Diceros bicornis minor: one gene and its partner. Each later gene encodes a partner of the first gene's protein in a complex. Links are inferred from orthologs where the notes say so. Each region holds a gene or a part of one and is shown on either strand. Other genes may lie near its edges. The genes, in order: PDPN and CLEC1B.

Evidence for each region.
Region 2: the proteins of PDPN (region 1) and CLEC1B are in contact, whole or in part, in a crystal structure (PDB 3WSR), measured with the Homo sapiens proteins. The link is inferred for Diceros bicornis minor from reciprocal best matches to the Homo sapiens genes PDPN and CLEC1B. Residues at the interface, in NP_006465.4 of Homo sapiens: Ala46, Glu47, Asp48, Asp49, Val50; in NP_001380271.1 of Homo sapiens: Arg107, Phe116, Arg118, Arg152, Thr153, His154, Leu155, Arg157.

The regions. Positions count from the first base shown.
Region 1 is NC_080752.1:31,866,142-31,874,987, forward strand, and holds the start of PDPN (podoplanin), read left to right. Parts: upstream 1-5,278; 5' UTR 5,279-5,483; coding exon 5,484-5,550; intron 5,551-8,846. UniProt on the Homo sapiens protein: Mediates effects on cell migration and adhesion through its different partners.
Region 2 is NC_080756.1:52,105,092-52,114,234, reverse strand, and holds the start of CLEC1B (C-type lectin domain family 1 member B), read left to right. Parts: upstream 1-5,247; 5' UTR 5,248-5,324; coding exon 5,325-5,388; intron 5,389-6,043; coding exon 6,044-6,142; intron 6,143-7,175; coding exon 7,176-7,295; intron 7,296-7,447; coding exon 7,448-7,599; intron 7,600-9,143. UniProt on the Homo sapiens protein: C-type lectin-like receptor that functions as a platelet receptor for the lymphatic endothelial marker, PDPN.

The DNA of each region.
Region 1 (8,846 bases):
TTGGAAGCCACCCGTTCATTTTGACTTTGCATAGTCAGGCTGGCCAGTATATCACGTGCCAGTGACTCAATCTCCGGGCTGGGCTTGGCCAGATATGAGTGTGTGGGGGTCCTCGATGGTGAGGATCTTCTAGCAGGCAGGATAAAATCACAAGCTTTCCTTTCACAGGTGTTTATGGAGCATGTGCCAGAGGCAGGGGCTACAAAGATGAAAGTGTCAGTAAGCTCCCGGCTTCAAGGAGCTCACGATAGCCTCAAAGGAGGCGGGGAGACACCAGAGCTTGGAACTCATTGGGCGCAATCCTTTAATGACAGCAGGATGGGGTGAGGTGGCCCTAATACTGGGAGGGGGGTCCAGCCAGGCAGGGGGACGGGGCAGGGGTCTTCAAACCACACACAGAGTTCCCCAGGGGAACGTGCCAGCAATGGATCAATTTCTCAAATCCTCAATGTTTGTCAGTTTTCCTCTAAAACTGCCTGGAGAATGCAACACCTTCACAATAACCCTCCTCCCATTTACAAAAGAAAGCCAGCTCCTTATCCACCCCAAATCTTATTATGGAGCATTTTTCTGGGGTGTAAAAACCTCTGTAGCCCCCAGGTGCCAAGGTGAAACACTGTCTTTCCCTGTTTTGCATACACACTGTTAAGGGTGGAGTTGGGGTGCTCCGAATTCAGGATCAGAACGCCTTGACCAAGGGACCAAAGTTCACACTTGCGTGCCCTGGGAACTGACATCCTGACCTCCTCAGGGGACGCACCGAGAAAACACAACATCACTTCTGGGGTCGTCCAGCCACAAACGCATACCTCAATCTAATCACGAGGAGAGCGGAGACGAAACCAAACTGAAGGACATTCTACAAAATAAATAGAGCCTGTGGTCTTCAAAAAGCAAGTTCAAGAAAGACAAAGAAAGGCTGCAGCAGAGTTCCAGTATCTTCCGGAGATGTGACAGCCCAGTGCAATGTGTGGTCCGGGATTAGATCCCGGAAAAAAAATCCTAAAGGACATTACTGGGACAGTTGTCAAAATTTGAATACGGACTGTGGATTGGACAATAGTATTGTTTTAATATTAAATTTTGTGATTTTGCTAATTCTACTGTGGTTACAAAAGAGAATGTCTTTGTTCTTAGGAAATTCACATCCAGTGTTTAAGGATAGAGGGCAGATATTTCCATGACTCTCGAGCGATTCATTACAAAGCCAGTGTGCACATGTACATCAATACAGAGTAAGTGATGAGGCAAATGGAATAAAACCACAAATTGGTGAATCTGGGCGAAGGGTGGACGGGAGTTCCTGGGTTATTCTTCCCGCTTTTCCGTAAATTTGAAATTATGTCACAAGAAGTTGCAAATAAATACACAAGGAACTCTGGGCATATGATAACTTTTCTACATTGCTGTTTTCCACATTTTCCTTAAGGAATGCATATTTTTATAATGAAAAATTAATAAATGCACATCATTTTTTAAAAGAATATGGTAGTGATGCTGACTCTTAAGTATAACTGGAAAGTTTTCCAGATCTATCAAAAAATATCCAGATGTGTGGATTTAAATTCAGAGATAAAAATTTTACACAATTTTTTTCATGCTTATTCAGGTGGCATTATCAAATGGTGTCATGAAATATATTTTCCAATTATGGTCAGTCTTCATGTTATTTCTTTTTAAGAAGTCTTTAATATGTTCTACCTCCCACTGAACATATATTTATTTAACTCTATGATGAAAAATAACTGGTACTTAGTTTTTCAAAATTCTTTTAGGGGGTCCGCAAGCAAAATCGTGTGCATCCCACTGGAATAAGGCGTGTGATGGTTTGACTCTGACAATAGGAGGGGGGAGTCAGCATTGGGGAGACCCCTGGGAGAACAATGGGGTGCTCTGGCAAATAGAGGCAGCCCAGTGGGTCAGAAATCAAAGCCAGCTCCCTATGCTTGGAACGGCAGCAGCCAGCCCCCAGGTCCCCGTGCAGAACACAAGTTCCTGGGTGGAACCAGGAGATAATCTGGTTTCCCTGGGGGGACTTGGGCCCAGAGAGCAGAACAGGGATGGGCGGGGGGCGCCTCTCAGGAATAAGGCCAAGGTGAGGGCTGCACTAGCAGAGAGGATGAGTTGATGCTGAGTCCCTGTGTGCTGGTCCAGCTGGGTTTCCTGAGATTGAAAGGAACCAGTACTGTTGGGCCCATGTCAAGAACCTCCGCCCTAGAGGCTGGGGCTGGCCGTGTTCAGGTGGGCACAGGGGGGCACCAGAGGACTAAAGAGGCTGAGAACCAGGCAGGGCCTGGCGGAAACAGCCATCATGGTAGTCATAGCAGTTAGACTTCTTTGTGTGCATAGAACTCTCCAAAGTAGGAATAACACGCCCATTTTAAAGAAGCACAGGCTGAGGCTCGTGTTGCCAGAGACCACCATGGAGCTGAATTTGGATTCCTAAACACTTAGGCTCTTTCCAGCAAACCAAGCTGCTGTAGGTTCCTTCTGTCCCCACCCACCATCCCCATCCCCAGCCTCATTCCATTCCTGCTGAATACCTTTTGGGCCCAGCTCGTACCCCTAAATGCACGATTTATTACTGAGTCATGGAGGTGCCCTTGATATCAGCGGTCCATCAGGCGGTATCTCAGCTCTGGAGCAGTGCACATTGAGCAGCAGGAGAAGACGCTGAGAAGTCTTCCCGGGCAGCCTGGGGAAGCATGGCCTGTGGCTCTCAGCCTGTGCAGAGGCCTCAGAGAACGCAGGGAGCCTGAGAGATCCTAACATCCCCCCTCCAGCATTCCTCGGGGTGGCGGGTCCCAGGCAGGGTGCTCTGTCTCCGCTCCTTTTGCTTCTGCACCCTCAGGAGGCCTCCTGCTCCCTAAAAGTGACTTACAGACCTCTTTCCAGATCCTTACCAAGAAGCACTACAGCAGGCTCAAGCCTTGTCACAGAGGGACGGTGGCTCCACGTCTCAGCCTGGACGACCCTGTATGATCCGCGTGGTCTCTAAATCAGTGGTCCCCAAAGTGGGGCCCCAGGACCAGCAGCAGCACCCCCTGGAAACTTGTTAGAAATGCAAAAATCTCCCCTGACCTGCTGAGTCAGAAACTCTGGAGGAACCACCCAGCCCTCCAGGCGAATCTGATGTACTCAGCTTTGGAAACCACACATTTCCTTGCACGTAAAATGGGTATTATCTGTTCTTAACCCAAGTATGGTTTTGGGGATTAAATAAAATAGCGCAGGGTAAATGTCCCTGTTATCTTACCAGTCACCGCTTTAGGAGCACAAGCTGTTTCACAAGAATGGAGGAATCTTCTGGCATGTTCCCTACTTGTTTTCTTCTTCCCCTCATCTAGGCCGCTTGACTGCTGCTTCTCTATCCCACCCCTGAGTCACTCAGGTCACCGCTGCTCCAACCCCTGTGCCCAAGGCCGGAGTCCCCTCTCTCTCCACTGCTGTTTACATTGTTGAGGAAAGTCCCCCCAGTAGGCTCAGCCACTCTCTGCAGTTACCCAACCCAGCAGCCTCTGGACCCTGTCCATAGACAGCCCCCCATCACCTCCCCTCCTCCATCCTGTACCCGAAGGTCAAGTGACCAACCTTGCAGATTCTAGACACATGCCTGGGGCGGTTGGGGAGGAGGGTGGGTAGAGGGGCCTCCCCTTCATTAATAACCTAGCCCCAAGTACTCTCTATATTAGCTGCATTTACCCCATTCTCCCACCTAGGCTTCATTTTGTCTCCGCTTGCAACTGAAGGTGGTCTATCTTTTTCTTTTTCATTTTTGACTTTGGAGTGGATTCGCATCTCTTCTCCACCAGCAGGCTTGACAGACTATATGTGCACCATTCAGTCTGTCGACAAACATTACTGATAGTACAGTAACGTTTAGAAGGTGGGAAGTCAGTTCAGATGATCTTCTCTTTAGTTTTCTCTTTACATTTCCAACCCCTCGACTCACAGGGCCCCTTCCTCCCCCTACTTTGGGTGTCAGCTCCTCTCTTGAACCCCAGGACAAGGCAGCACCTGGGAGATCTTTAGACATTCAGAATCTCCCCACCCCAGACCCAGAGAAGCTGCCCTTGCATTTTAACACCTCCTCCCGGAAATTCACATGATTCACCCGCTCCAGGGTGCCACTGGCTTGAAATACGAACTCCCAAAGGGTCTGAGGAATGAGTTGGGGGTAGACCCCAGGAATCCGAGTTTTTCAAGCAATCTTCTCAGGTGATTCTTATGATAAAGTAAATTTGGAATCAGGGTCCAGGATAAGGGTCAGAAAACAACCAATTTTCACCCCAAGGTGGACCTTTGGGGCATTAGTCTTCAGTTTTTTTTTGCTGAATGGAATTTGTGGCATCCGGAGTGTGGCAGAGGCCACCTCCCCAACTCCTCTTCTTTTAAAAAATGTTTCTCTTTAAATTCCAGCAATTCAAAAGGAAATAAAGTAAAAAATATAAATTCTTTTCCTGTTCTTAACATCCAGTACCTGAGATCAGAACAAGATTGCTTAAATCAGTAAAGTGGGGATCTGGGGGCCAAACTCCAGGGTTAAAAGGGCTGAGCCCCAGCTGGAAGCGGACACGTGTTTGGTGGCCAGGTCGGTCCTCGGACATCCTCGGGCTGCAGCGCCTCACCGGCCGCCCGTGTCGGTCCGCGGGCCCCAGCATCACAGCGCTGCATCCAGTCGGGAGAGGCGGATCTCCAGCTCAGGCTTTTTTCCCAAACTGCCAAAGCCACCGAGTCCGCCAAGCTCCCGGCCGGCTCTCGGGCAGGCCCCTGGAGACCGCCCCCTCGGGTCCTCTGGACAAGGGCGCAATTTACCAGCGCGAGCCGCCCCTGCCCACCCAGATGAGGACGCTCGCTTTTTTTTCATTAAGCCATCAGATTCAATATTTACAAGAACAATCCCATGCTTAGTTCTAAAATTACCGGCCACACAAGGAATAGTTTACTTCTCACAACAAGAAAAACCTAGGCTTGTGCCTCACTCTTAAAAATCAGAATAATAAATAAAGTAAAATATTAAACAAAATAAATTGCTTATTGCATGCGCCCCCTTTCCCTCCTGCTGGAGAACGGAATAAAAGCCAATTTTGCGGCGCTCCGGGCCCTCCGCGCGCCCTGGCGGCCCCCGCAGCTGCAGCCCTGTAACTTTAAACCTGGCCTGAGGTCATCGTTTTCGCGCGGGCCAAACAGAGCGAGGGGGCGGTCCTAGTGAGCCCCGGACTGGGACCACCTTACAGCGGACCTCTCTCCGCCCTCCTCGGGAGAGATAAATGCTGACTCCCATCCAAAAGTTGCCAGCAAAGTTTGGTGCTCCGGCTGCTTGCGCGGGTGAAGGAAGCTTGGGAACCCATCACGCGCTGGGACTTGCGCTCCTTGCATCTCCACTCGCGCTCCGCCGGGCCTGTGGCTGCAGAGATTTTTAATCTTCCTCCAGTTCAGAAACCAGCTGCTCGGCCCCCGAAGAGAACGAGTCAACTAAGAAGATGTGGAAGGTGCCGGTTCTGCTCTTGGTTTTGGGAAGCGCGTGGCTCTGGGTCCTGGCAGAAGGAGGTAAGACTCAGCAGGAGTCTGCAGCTGCTGGTGGGGACTGGCGAGCTGGGGCTTGCTGGAACGCCTGGGCCTGGCATTTGAGGTTGCCGGGGAGAGCAGAGGGGAGCCGGGAGTGCGTGTGTGCGAGTCTGGAGGACCCGGGAGAAGGAGAGACAGAGGCTTAGCTGGTGCCAGGTCCCAAAGAAACAGCTGAGCGGAGTGCAAGGAGGAGCCCCCGAATCCACAGGCAGCAAGGGTGGGGAGCAGAGGGGCCTCCCTCCAGGGCAGCCCACCTCCTTCCACCCCCTGCTCGGGGCACGAGCGCTAGGGCGAAGGGGTAACAGCAAAGAGCCTTCCACTGGCAGGTCTGGGCTTTCCTGCAGGGCTGCGTTCTGGGGGAACGCCCAGGGCCTCAGAAGAAACTGGCCCCATGGAGTCGGGAGGGACATTCAGGAGTGCTGGGGTTGGGGGAGGTTTTCCTCTGTATAGTGATCGTCTCCCTCCCGGGGCTGCCAGATCTTACACCCTGTGCCCCGGCATGTTGGACACACTCAGGCCCCATCAGTGGGGACCAGCTAGCTGGAAGAGGCCTCGGTTATCCTCTGTAGAGAGGACGGTGTGTGCGGAGAGGACTGAGGTGGAGAGGGCTCGTGAGTGGCTGAAGGAACAGAGGATGACTGTGAACACTGAGGGTTAAGGTGGTTTGGGGCCGTGTGTTGAGCTTGGTCAACAGCATCAATAACTGAGTGATGGTGACTCCTTAGACTTTTAACTGTCTTAGATCTGATGCTGCGGGCCCTGCCTACCATCACCTACATCTTCCCTTATCCTTTCGCTCTTCTTCCTCTTCTTACCTCTTTCTGCCCAGTGTGCTGTGTTGGAGGCATCCATGCACGTGTGTGAATATTTTATTTCTTTTCCTGGGGGTTTATTTTGTATCTGTTTTTCCAATAGAATATAAGCTCCCAAGGACACAGCTATGTCATAGCCTTGATCCCCAGGGCCAAAACAATGTCAAGCACGTAGTAGTTGCTCACTAAATATTGATTGAAGGAATTATAAGCTCACTACTGATCCTTGGAGTTGGAGGTTGCTGAGCCAAGCTCTGAAAGGTGAACTTTTACATTCTCCAAATTGAGGATTGTAGTCCTGGTGCCAGAGGACTCCTTCTTGGAGGGAGTGGTGTGAGGGAGGAGTGGACCTGACCTAGGCTTCTATAATTCCCTGCAAAGACAAAAATACCCAGCCCTAGGGAAATAACACAGGGTGTAGTGCTCTGTGCCCGCTGTCTGCTTCGGAGAGACCCAGCAACTCTCTGCAGGGCCATGGGCTATTTGTGATGGTCCTATCTTTGGAACTTCTCGTTCCTCTAGAATATACACAGCTCTGCATTTCAGTTACATTTCCCTTTTGGCGAGACAGTGTGCAGATGACACCGTTTTGTGCTCACCAGGGCAAGGTGTGGGAGGCCCCCGAACTCAGGCGCATCCCAGCTCCGCTCAAGACAGACGGCAGCTGGGCGGCATCCCCTGTTTTCTCTCTGGGGAGGGTTGGCTGTAATTATCTTTAAGCCAGTTCCTGAATGTCAAAGGTACTCCTACAGGGTGGCAGTAAACTTTGTCTGAGAAAGCAGCCACCATTGGTACTAGAAACTAGACTGCTCAAGGCAGAGGCCCCTCCTCCCCTGGCTGTGTTGGGGGCCGGCTGTGTGTGGATGCTGTGTTGCTGGGCTGCTGGCAAGGAGCTGAGGCCCAAGAGGGGTTTTGTCTGAGGATAATGAGTGAGGCGACTTGAATATGGATGAATAACTTCATTGAACTGGCTATTGTTGGCTCTTGTTGGGGAGCTGGGCTGGGGGTAATTATGGTGATGATTTTTATTATCCTTCTCTTAGGTTCCTACTCCCCACTGTGCTTCCCTCATCTAGTGTTATAATCTGGCTCGGTTTTATAATCTGGTCCCGTGTGTTGTCTCTTTGGATGTGAGTGGATTCAGAGGAGCTCTGTTGTCCACACATCTGGCACTTTCCTCCACTGTGAGGCCCCACCCTCACTCTGATCTTGCATCCAAAATACGTACTTCAGGGCCTCTCCGTTAGAAAATCTATCTTGTGAAATTCTGCAGGCTGCTGCTTGCTGCAAACCCACGTGTGCTTTTCCGGGACCAATCTACCCAGGATTAATCATGCGGTGCACAAATTTCCCCCGAACTCTTGCCAGTTTCGGAGGCCCTGAAATCTTCATGAGTTGCTAAGTTTTGGTTGCCCTTAAGGCATCTATCAAGCATTTAGTAAAGATCAGGTCTGTTAGAGCCTTTGTGAGGGAGGCCTATCCATTACACTGGAGTACATGCACATTTTTAAAAAGTATCCAAGCATGAGAAGGCTAAGTCGGGACATGGCGAATAGGGAGGAACCTGGCTGAACGGAGGTACGCGGCTCTTCTCTTTCTCTGAAAGGAGTGGCCCATGAATGACTCTCTACCACAGAGTTATAAAGACCCCAAACCTTGGCGTGACAGTGGATAGGCTGGCCAAGTAGGAAGGGCACTGCTTCCCTCCCATTCCCATCCCCTGCCGCGTGTGAGGAACGTCCGTTACCTCATTTCATCATGACAACTCCTTAAATTATACACTATTATCTTCAGAATGTGCCAGAACTGGGATTCGAAAATGGGTCTAATTCCAAAGCCCAAGCTTTTTTCACTACATTACATTGCTGCAAAAAAAAAAAAAAGTTGAACTTGAAATTAAAGGTTAACCTCACTTTAAGTTCCTTAAACATGAAAACAAAATATTTTAAGGTACAAAAAGTCCTTTACATCAAATACCATGATACTCCTTTAAGAATAAAAATGTCACAGTACATTAAAAGAAGATTCATAAATTCGTTCCCCAAATATTAATTAAGCGTCTCCCAAGAGCTTGGGCTGGTGCTCAATGCAGGATTTGAACCATATGCATGTTTGAGGGGGCACACCTGACATTATAAAGCGTACTCAGGAGTCTTCACCAGCAAGGCAGCGGACTTGTGCTTTAAATTCCACTGGCTTATCTGAATATTTGTCATATTTCTGGCTTCTAAGAGCAGGCATGCCAGGTTACAACTTGTGGAAATATGACGGGGGAGGGCGTGGGGAGAGAGAAGACTCGAATACCTAGCAGTGTCCTGTGAAACTCATGGGAGGAATGTAAATATGCTCCTGCCAGGCTCTCCAAGGCAGCCTTGTCATTCCTGCCACCCCGAAACCTCTCAAGGAAATACCCAGTGTGAGCGTTTTGTTGGAAGAGAATCATATGATTGGGGTGAACAGGGGTGA
Region 2 (9,143 bases), on another chromosome or scaffold:
ATTAAATCTGGACTCGTCAAAGACCTAGAGAAAAGATAAAAACAGAAAAAAATGGCCACAGGGAGGAGCCAGAGGATGAATATCGGATAGAATTTATTTTGAAATGTATATTCATCCCATGAGGATAATAAAATACCCTGATTAAAATAAAGGGCTATGAAGATAGACTGATTGCTTCAAATCCCAAATCAACATTTACTTGTCCAGTGACTTTGGCAAGTCACTTAACCTCTGTGCTTTATTTTTTCTGTTAATAAAATTGGTGTAATACCTACCACAAAAGTAATTAATACAAGCACATAGAAACAATAACAAATGATAGCTATCACTATTATTATATCAGAAATAAGCTTAAATTATTCTGGATGATCTTAAAAATGGAAGAAACCTATGCAGTTGCCCAAGTACTTCTAGTGAAGGTTAAACAAACCAATTCAAATGGGCACAACAAGGGCCAGCCCCAAGCCTCACCAGTAAAGTTCTATTATACGATTTTTTTCATAGTGCTTATCATCATCTGAAATTATCCTGCTCTTTTCTTTCTTGGCTTCTTTGCTCACCATCCTCCACTAGAATATAACCTCAATAAGAGCACAACTTATGTAAGTTCTGTTCACAACTTAATCCCCAGGAAATAGAATAGTGCCTGGGACATACACAGTGATCAACAAAAATATGTTCAGATAACTGATTAATTGTCCTTGCAATGTAAGTTTTATAGTGATTTTATTAGGACACTTTATGTCCCAGTATACTGTGACATGAATCATCAGTTCAAATACACTTGATCAATTCACTTTTCTTGGTCACATCATACTCATTCAAACTTTCAGAGCGTTGTTCAGATATTTGCCCTGCCTGAAAACATTCCCCTTTCCTCTCTCTCTTTATGCAATCTTTGCCTTTCCTTCAAATCTTAACTCAAGTCTTACATATTCTATTTGATTATTATTATTGTTATTATTTGTGTGTATGGGCGTGTGTGAGGAAGATCAGCCCTGAGCTCACATCCATGCCAATCCTCTTCTTTTTGCTGAGAAAGACTGGCCCTGGGCTAACATCCGTGCCCATCTTCCTCCACCTTATATGGGATGCTGCCACAGCATGGCCTGACAAGCGGTGCTTTGGTGTGCGCCTGGGATCCGAACCAGGGCCACCAGCAGTGGAGCGCCCGCACTTAACCGCTATGCCACGGGCCGGCCCCTCATTTGATTATTATTTAACTTTTTTATTTACAGATATTTTGTAAGCATGTGCATGATAAACTTCTCAGTGTTATGGATGCAGTCTAACACATTTTTTTCCTTCATTTTCTCTACTATGTGTAACAAAATGCTCGGCCACAGTTGTTATCTGATAATTATTCATTGTTTGGTTCATTAACTTTTAATAAAATGCATTCTGCTTTTCAATCCACATGTTTAAGCTTTCTGAAAATTTAAGAAAAATATTAATTATCCTTTTTTTCATGACAGGAAATCCTAGTCTTTTCCAAAGATAAACAATATTTAATACGTATGTAGAAGGCTAGTAACTCAAAGGTGAACCAAAAATTTTAATGCGCAGGACTGAGGGAGGGAACAAGCTATCACCTATAAATGCACCTAAGGGTTAGCTTAAAGGTGATGTACATTAAGAAGTCTGTACAAAGTTATGACCAGCTGCAAAATATTCACCTCCCTTATATTTTTTCAGTTTAGAGACATTGTTATAACACTCACAGTATCAACATCATTCTCTTTTCGTCTTTCTCTTTTACACATCCACTAGCCATCATTATATATTGATCAGTCTTATCCACGATGCTATGGATTCCACTAAGTTCCTTTGTTTTTGCATCTATACCTTGTCATTGTGATCCTAGTATATTTTACTCATTCTTCAGCTATAAACACAGATAATAGAATCCGGCCAATACCTAAATTTGAAAGACGCCTTTATGTAGTGGAAAGAACTTGGAAAACTAAGTAGATGGTGCTGCTTTTTATAAGTATGATCATAGAAAAGTCCCCAAATTCCTTAAACTTCTCTTTCTACATGTGTAATATTAGGATCAAAATTCCCATTGTACCTATATTCCTTCATTTACCAAATATCTATTGGATGGTAACAGTATGTCAGTCACTATTTTAGAACCGTGGAGTACATTCTTGTGGGGATACATGACAAAAATGTGTATATTTAAGAAGCCTCTGTGTGTCAGATAGTGATAAGTGCAATGGAAAAAAATGAAGCAAGAAAGAGGGACAAGAGTGTGGGCTGGTGTGTGGTGGGTGGGAGAAGTTGTTCTAAATACTAAAAAATAAAGGATAGCTAAAATCTAAGCCTCTGTGTTCCATAAGGACTAGTACCATGACTAACTTGCTCCATGAATATTCACCACCAATTTCAGTGCTTGAAACATATTCAATTAATAAAATATTTGCTTTAAAAGAGAAAATTTATGTAAAAGTGCCTCTTAATCTCTAAAATACTAAAGAAATAAAGATTTTTATTCCAAGTTCAAACTCATCTGGATATTTGGAATAAAGGACTTTTTCAACTCTTCTTTCCTAGGCCAAGAAAAAAGAGAGTAATAAAATATGCAAGCAGAAATAAAATGTCAATGATAGGCCTTGTAGGGTGATTAAGAGTTATCTAGCAAAGCCTCTGGATTTTGGAAAAGGAAAAAGAAAAGTTTGTAATATTTATCTCTTTTTCCTGCAGTTCTCTGCATAATTTTTGCTGAGTAACTCAGCTTGTATTTACAGATTACGTAGAGGGAGAAAGTCGAGTTAAGACTAATATTATCAGGGGCTTCTTTGACCTGAGAGTCTGTTCTCATCCAGTATATTTCTCACACTGCAAGGTCATGTTTGGGGGATAAAAATAATGGCCAATATATTTTTATGGAACATAGTTCTTGATATAAGACTCTCAGCCTGTGGCTAGAATAATCAACGATCCAAAAACCAATGATGTATTACAAACACCAAGGAGAAAGAACCAAAGGAAAATCCAGAGGCTGAGATATAGGAAAGGAAAATCATCTGAGGCTTAGTGTTACCCATTTCAAGTTTACCTACTTCTGGAGTTAAATGTACAGTTTTAAGAATTAATGAATCAAGAAGTAAGCCTGGCATATTCCTGGTGGTTTGCAAGAAGAATAAATGGGATACGTTTATAATTTAACCAATTGCCCAAGACCTAGAGATGTGGAAATCTGAACAAAGCAAGCTACTTGTTATATTTCAGACCTTATTAAAGTTTCTGTTAATTGAACAAGAAAATGTTTACAATAATTATAAGTCTTCCGAATGTCCATGGATCTTGCATTTAGGTATTTGATTTAACTTCACTATAAATTTTCAGAAGTTACTTATTTTGTTACTAAGAGAACAGAATAAAGCTTTCTTTAAAAAAAATGTCCTTTGAACTGCACCCTCCACACTCTTTTCTCTCTGTCACTTAGTCACAATTATTTTTCAGTGTTTCAGTATATTTTACAAAAAAAGCACTAAAGTAAGGCAGTGACAGAAAGGACACAGAAGATAGGAGTTAAGGTGAAAGAAAAACCTTGGGCTTGGTATGCGAGTAAACGTGAGCAAAGGAAGAGAGAGAGAGTCAAACTAACCCTCAGGCTGTGCTGGAAGGTTGGGGCTGTCATGCACTGTCAGGAAGGGTGAAGAGTCGTTTTGGCTGAAGAAGTTACTTGAATAGAAGCAGTGGTAGATGAATGGTAGGGAAATGATCTGAATTTGCCTGGCTTGTGATTGGGAAGCACTGAATATTTTAACAGAGATAAGAAACTCAGTGACAAAAAGTGGTTTGGAGATTTAAGAAATTGGATTATTTGATTTTTAGCACATTATTAAATTTGACATTTATTTCAAGGGAGTGGGATTTTTGATTAAATATCTGTTTTTGGTAAAATTATTTAAGTCCTGCTAAGTGTGGGTTTTAAAAATCAGGCAATGCCTTTCATGCTTGTTTTGTTTATACTTTACCTCATTCTCAAAATAATTTGAGGTGTGCAGTGAAAGAAATTTTAAAATAAAAGATTAGTTTAAGTGAGTTGACAAAGAATTCAAAGTGAAGGAGATAACAGCGAGGAAAAAAAATATGTACAAGAGATGCCAAAGGGAAAGTTAGTAAACAAAATACTTGTCACAAGATCTTATGTAATTACTACATTGAAAAATAAAATTTTCAATATAGTCTAACATTCTACTAACTAAAGGAAAAATAGAAATTAGATCATTTATAAGATAAATGCCTCCTTGGTTACTTAGAAGAAGGGAAGCTTTTCTGGCCGTAAAGTTTAACAAAAACATCTGCTACAAAACTATATAAGAGAAACCCTAATGATAAAATAGACAACACTCTCACCAATATTCCTACAACAAATACAGCAGGACCTTTCTACGGCTGTTCTTATAACTACCTGCAATGTAAGCTAAAATAACAATTTAAAAGCCCATTTCATAAAGTTAAATGTGTGAAATACTTATTATATTGTGATGCAAAGGGCACTAAGATATCATCCTTTCCTCAAATAGTTCTTCATCTAAATACCACTATACTTGGAATTACGTGAGTTCATTGAATTAAGATTTTTCCATTCCTGGAAATTCGTTTTGAAGTGCAAACATCACTTGAGCACAATACATCAAGTCACTAATTGTGTTATTTCACTTTGATTGTTTTCCTTCTATGCCTAAACCTAAGCAATATGAAGGCTGCCTCATTTGAAGTCCTTGAATTTTTGAAAAATTTGATTGGCAAGAGATGCAAGAATTTGGATGAATTCTAAGTCGTAATTAGGAACGGTCCCTTCTAACCCAAGACCATGAAACATCTAATCTAGTCCACATTAGATCACATTATATTAGACTTGCTCCTCACAGTGAGATAGACAATACATATATCTACTAGTATTTTATCCATGAATTTTCATGAGAAATTAGTTTATTTAAACAATATGATTTAGGCTCTGCTAAGGTTAAGATGAAGCAGGAACTTTTTTGTTCTTTGAAAGGATACACATGATGGAATACTGCTTAATTCAGAGTTGAAGATAAGGAAACAGGAAACAAATGCCATATCTACTCCTTTACCACAAGTTATTATTTTTGTGTTTGTATGTTCAAGGACCATGTATCTTCGAGCAGCTGTGAAACAGCTTCCTGGAAAGAAAAAAAAAAATACACTTGCTCCAACTCATATGGCTCTGCCTTACCAATGAGAGGAGCATCACAGACTGACAGACATTGAAATCATAAGAGTGGACACCACATTTTGCAAAGTAATTGAACTCTGAACTCACTTGTAGTCCAAGGAAAGCCATGCAGGATGAAGATGGATACGTCATCTTAAATATTAAAACTCGAAAACCAGCTCGCACCTCAGGTAAGAATGCTTAGAGCCAGAAATTGGAAATTAATTATCGAAATAGGTCAACCTAGTTTCCTTTTTCTACTAATGATAGCACATTTAGTTTTATTTTCCTAAATGACTTTCTTTCTCTACAGCATTTGTAGTGGTATCTACATGATATAGTAGTAACTACATGAGTAGTATCTACATAGGCTCAGATAGATTTATTTAGAATACAAACAACAAAAGATACAAGCAGGGTACACTACCTTAAGGCTTATAGAGTTCAATGCTGGAGGGAATAGAAACCAAGCGGGTAAGGGGAGAGAATGTTTTGCAATCCCATTTTCTAAGATGTCAGCACATGGGCGTGATCCTCCGGTCATTGATTATAGAAGCAATTATTTACGAGAGTGGGCACAAAACAAAGTAAACACATAAAACTTTAACAGTTAGTTGTATTTTAAGTCAGAAAGAAGAAGTCCGTTGGGGATGGGGCCATCCCCATGTGTGGAATGGGAGTGGTTTATGCTTACTATTGACGACCACCAAGGGAACACAGGCAAGATATGCCAACGAATATGTTTATATTGCTTGGAAAATCCTGAGAGAGCAGGAACAGGGATGACACTGCCCCAAAGCTATGCCATACTGCCAGCCCTCTGACGTCTTTATTGTATGCCCACAGTTGACCTTGCTACCCCATCTTTGTGGCGTGTGATGGCTTTGATTCTGCTGATCTTGTGCATGGGGATGGTCGTTGGGCTGGTGACTCTGGGGATTACATGTAAGTATTGACTCATTGCCAAAGATTTGATCTGAGGAAGGCAATACCTAAGAGTCCCGGTGTATCCCACTAATCTTATTTGTCACTATTTGCCTACTTGTCACTACTCCAATCATCCTATATGTAGCTCAAGATATTCTCAATAAAGGAGAATTCTTACCTTTCCTTCTAATAAAAATCATCTTTTAGATTTTTTTTATTAATTAAAAACTATTTTCAAGAATTTTAAACTGGGCTTTAAGATCCTCCTAAGTATGGATTCACACTTTTATAATTTTTTTTTCTCCCTGTCCTGCATATCTTAAGATCCAGCCAATCCGGATTTTTCTGTTTCACAAATAAATCCTACATCTCCTTGCCTGAAATTTTGCTCATTTTATTCCTTCTTCTGAAAATGTCCTCCTTCTCATTTTGTTTAATGAATTTATTTACTTCCATGAGGAGACAATTTATATCACACCTAATTTATAAATATTTTTCTCCTTGTAAATCTAAAAGCCCTCTAATGTCACATTATCATGTTTAGTTGTTGCTTGTTTATATATTGTTTATTTTTTCACAAGATATTTTAGAATTCGTCATTCATCATCTTTTATTTACCTGAGTATCACAGTATTTGAGCATAAAAGGAAATCAATATGTATGTGTTAAATGAAAGGATCTTTTGGTATTACATAAAAAACAAAATAGCAAAATTCATCTCTGTGAATCTGTTTAGAAACCTGCATTCAAGGAAAGTTGAAATAACTGCTTTGGGCATGCAATTTGATCATGGCATTTTCTCATTTGTGATTGACTCCTTCAAATAGTTCGCTTGTTCTTTTGGATAACCCTCTGGTGCCAATTTTACATAGTTCTTAATTTGTTCTTTATACTCCCCTTTACCCTAGCCCTTTTCAGCACTCATTTACTCATGTGCATCTAGTAAACACTTCATAGATTGATAATTCTACTGAAATTAAAGTTCATTGAAAGGTCTTTACATCACCCTTATTACCCTGATTACAAATTATTATGTAATTTTTACACCTAGCTGTCAAGCAGCAAAACTACCTACGAGCTGAGAATAAAAATCTCTCAGGAACTCTGCAGCAATTAGCAAAGCGGTTCTGCCAATATTTATTAAAATCATTGGAAAAAGGGCACAATTTGGGTACGTATAGTTTGGTAACCTCTTCATCTTCTCTACCCCTGGAGTATTTCTGTGATGCTATCTGTAGGAAATCTTGAGATCTGCAGTAAACATGGGGAAAAATTAAGCCCAATTTAGAATGAAAGGGTTCCTATGCTTGGTTTCTCCTTAAGGCCATAAGTGCAGCCCATGTGACATAAACTGGAGATATTATGGAGAAGGTTGCTATGGATTCTTCAGGCACAACTTGACATGGGAAGAGAGTAAGCAGTACTGTACTGGCATGAATGCTACTCTTGTGAAGATCACCAACCAGAACATTCTGGTAAGGAGATGTCTATGTCAAATATTTTGGAGTCAGAAGGAGAAAAATCTCAAGTGAAATATTTCACTAAAACAATATATATTTTTTTCACATCTCCCAATTTGTGCTAATATGAGAAGCTTATCAAGCTCAGTAAAAATTACAACATTTGAGAGTAGCAAGAGGTGAAATAGAACTATGGGATTTTGAGTTCTGGTCTTATCTCTGCAACAAGTAATTTAACCTTTCTCAACTTCCTTAACTCTATTTACTAATTCATAAAAGAGTCTGAAGGTATAAAGAAACTTAATATGGTTGTAAAATATAAATAACAATGTTATCTCAATATTACATGCCTTTTTTTTTTTTTTTGTGAGGAAGATCAGCCCTGAGCTAACAACATCCATGCTAATCCTCCTCTTTTTGCATAATTTCCAAAATTATGTTTGGAAGCAATCTCATTTGCGCAACACACAAGATTTCAGTTGAAAATTTTCCATTAAACATGTCTCCTCTTCCACATTTCCCGCTCTGATAGCTCCTAATAAAGTCTCTATTTTCAAGCAAAATACGTCCACATCCATTCATATACTCTCTTCTTATTATTTAATGTAGCTTTTCTCTTCTTCATGAGTCCTGGGAGCAAGTCAGAAACCAAGCCTTCTACCTTCTCCCTTCTACCCAATAACAGGTTTATCAAAACACATTTTTTAAAAAGGCAAAAATTCTTTATAGTATTTATCCTACAATTTCTTATATAGTTATTATCCATATTTTTGTGTATTAAAAAAGAAAGCAAATGTAAGTTGGAAAAGAAGTCAGGATTTGGGCTATGTGCAGACAGAGATTCAAGAGAAAAATATTCAAGCTGGTCATATTCTACAAAATTGTTATAGTTGATCAGCAAAATTGACATACTTTCCTGAGAGCTGAAGTGCACAGTACTGGACCAGAAATGAGGACATGAGTCCAGTGACATTTGTGAGCATTTGTGTGCTGTGTTATTCTAACTTGCTGTACCATCTACTTTCTCGTTTTGTGGGCTCAGACTCATAGAGAAGAAATTCAGATAAATAAATTAATAGTTCTTTCCAATCAGGCAAAATAACAGAGTACTCTGAAATCTCAGCTCCTGCAAAGAGATTAATTGGAGACACATTTACATGTTTTGACACTTATTACTCTAAGCTGATGCCAGATTGGAGATTTATAAGTAAAAGAGAAAGTAATATAATTTTTGAGAAACAAAGAATAGTGGAATTTCAGGCAGAATTTCAGACAGAATATACTTCCTATAGTGAAGTATATAATGAGGATGTATTTCAAAGAAAAGAACAAGAATTAATGGAATTGATGGGTGGCTCAAGCTTTAAGAAATAAGCACTGAAAAGTGACTTTCACACAATATCTCTTATGGAATGCCATTCTGTGTCTTACGTGTCTGTCAAGAAGCTCGAGTCATTTTTTATTTGCCAAGAATGCATTCTAACCCGTCTGTTTTTCTGTGAGGTATGGAAATATAAAACATTTGATCTCCTTTTAATTTTGTTACCCATAGATCGACT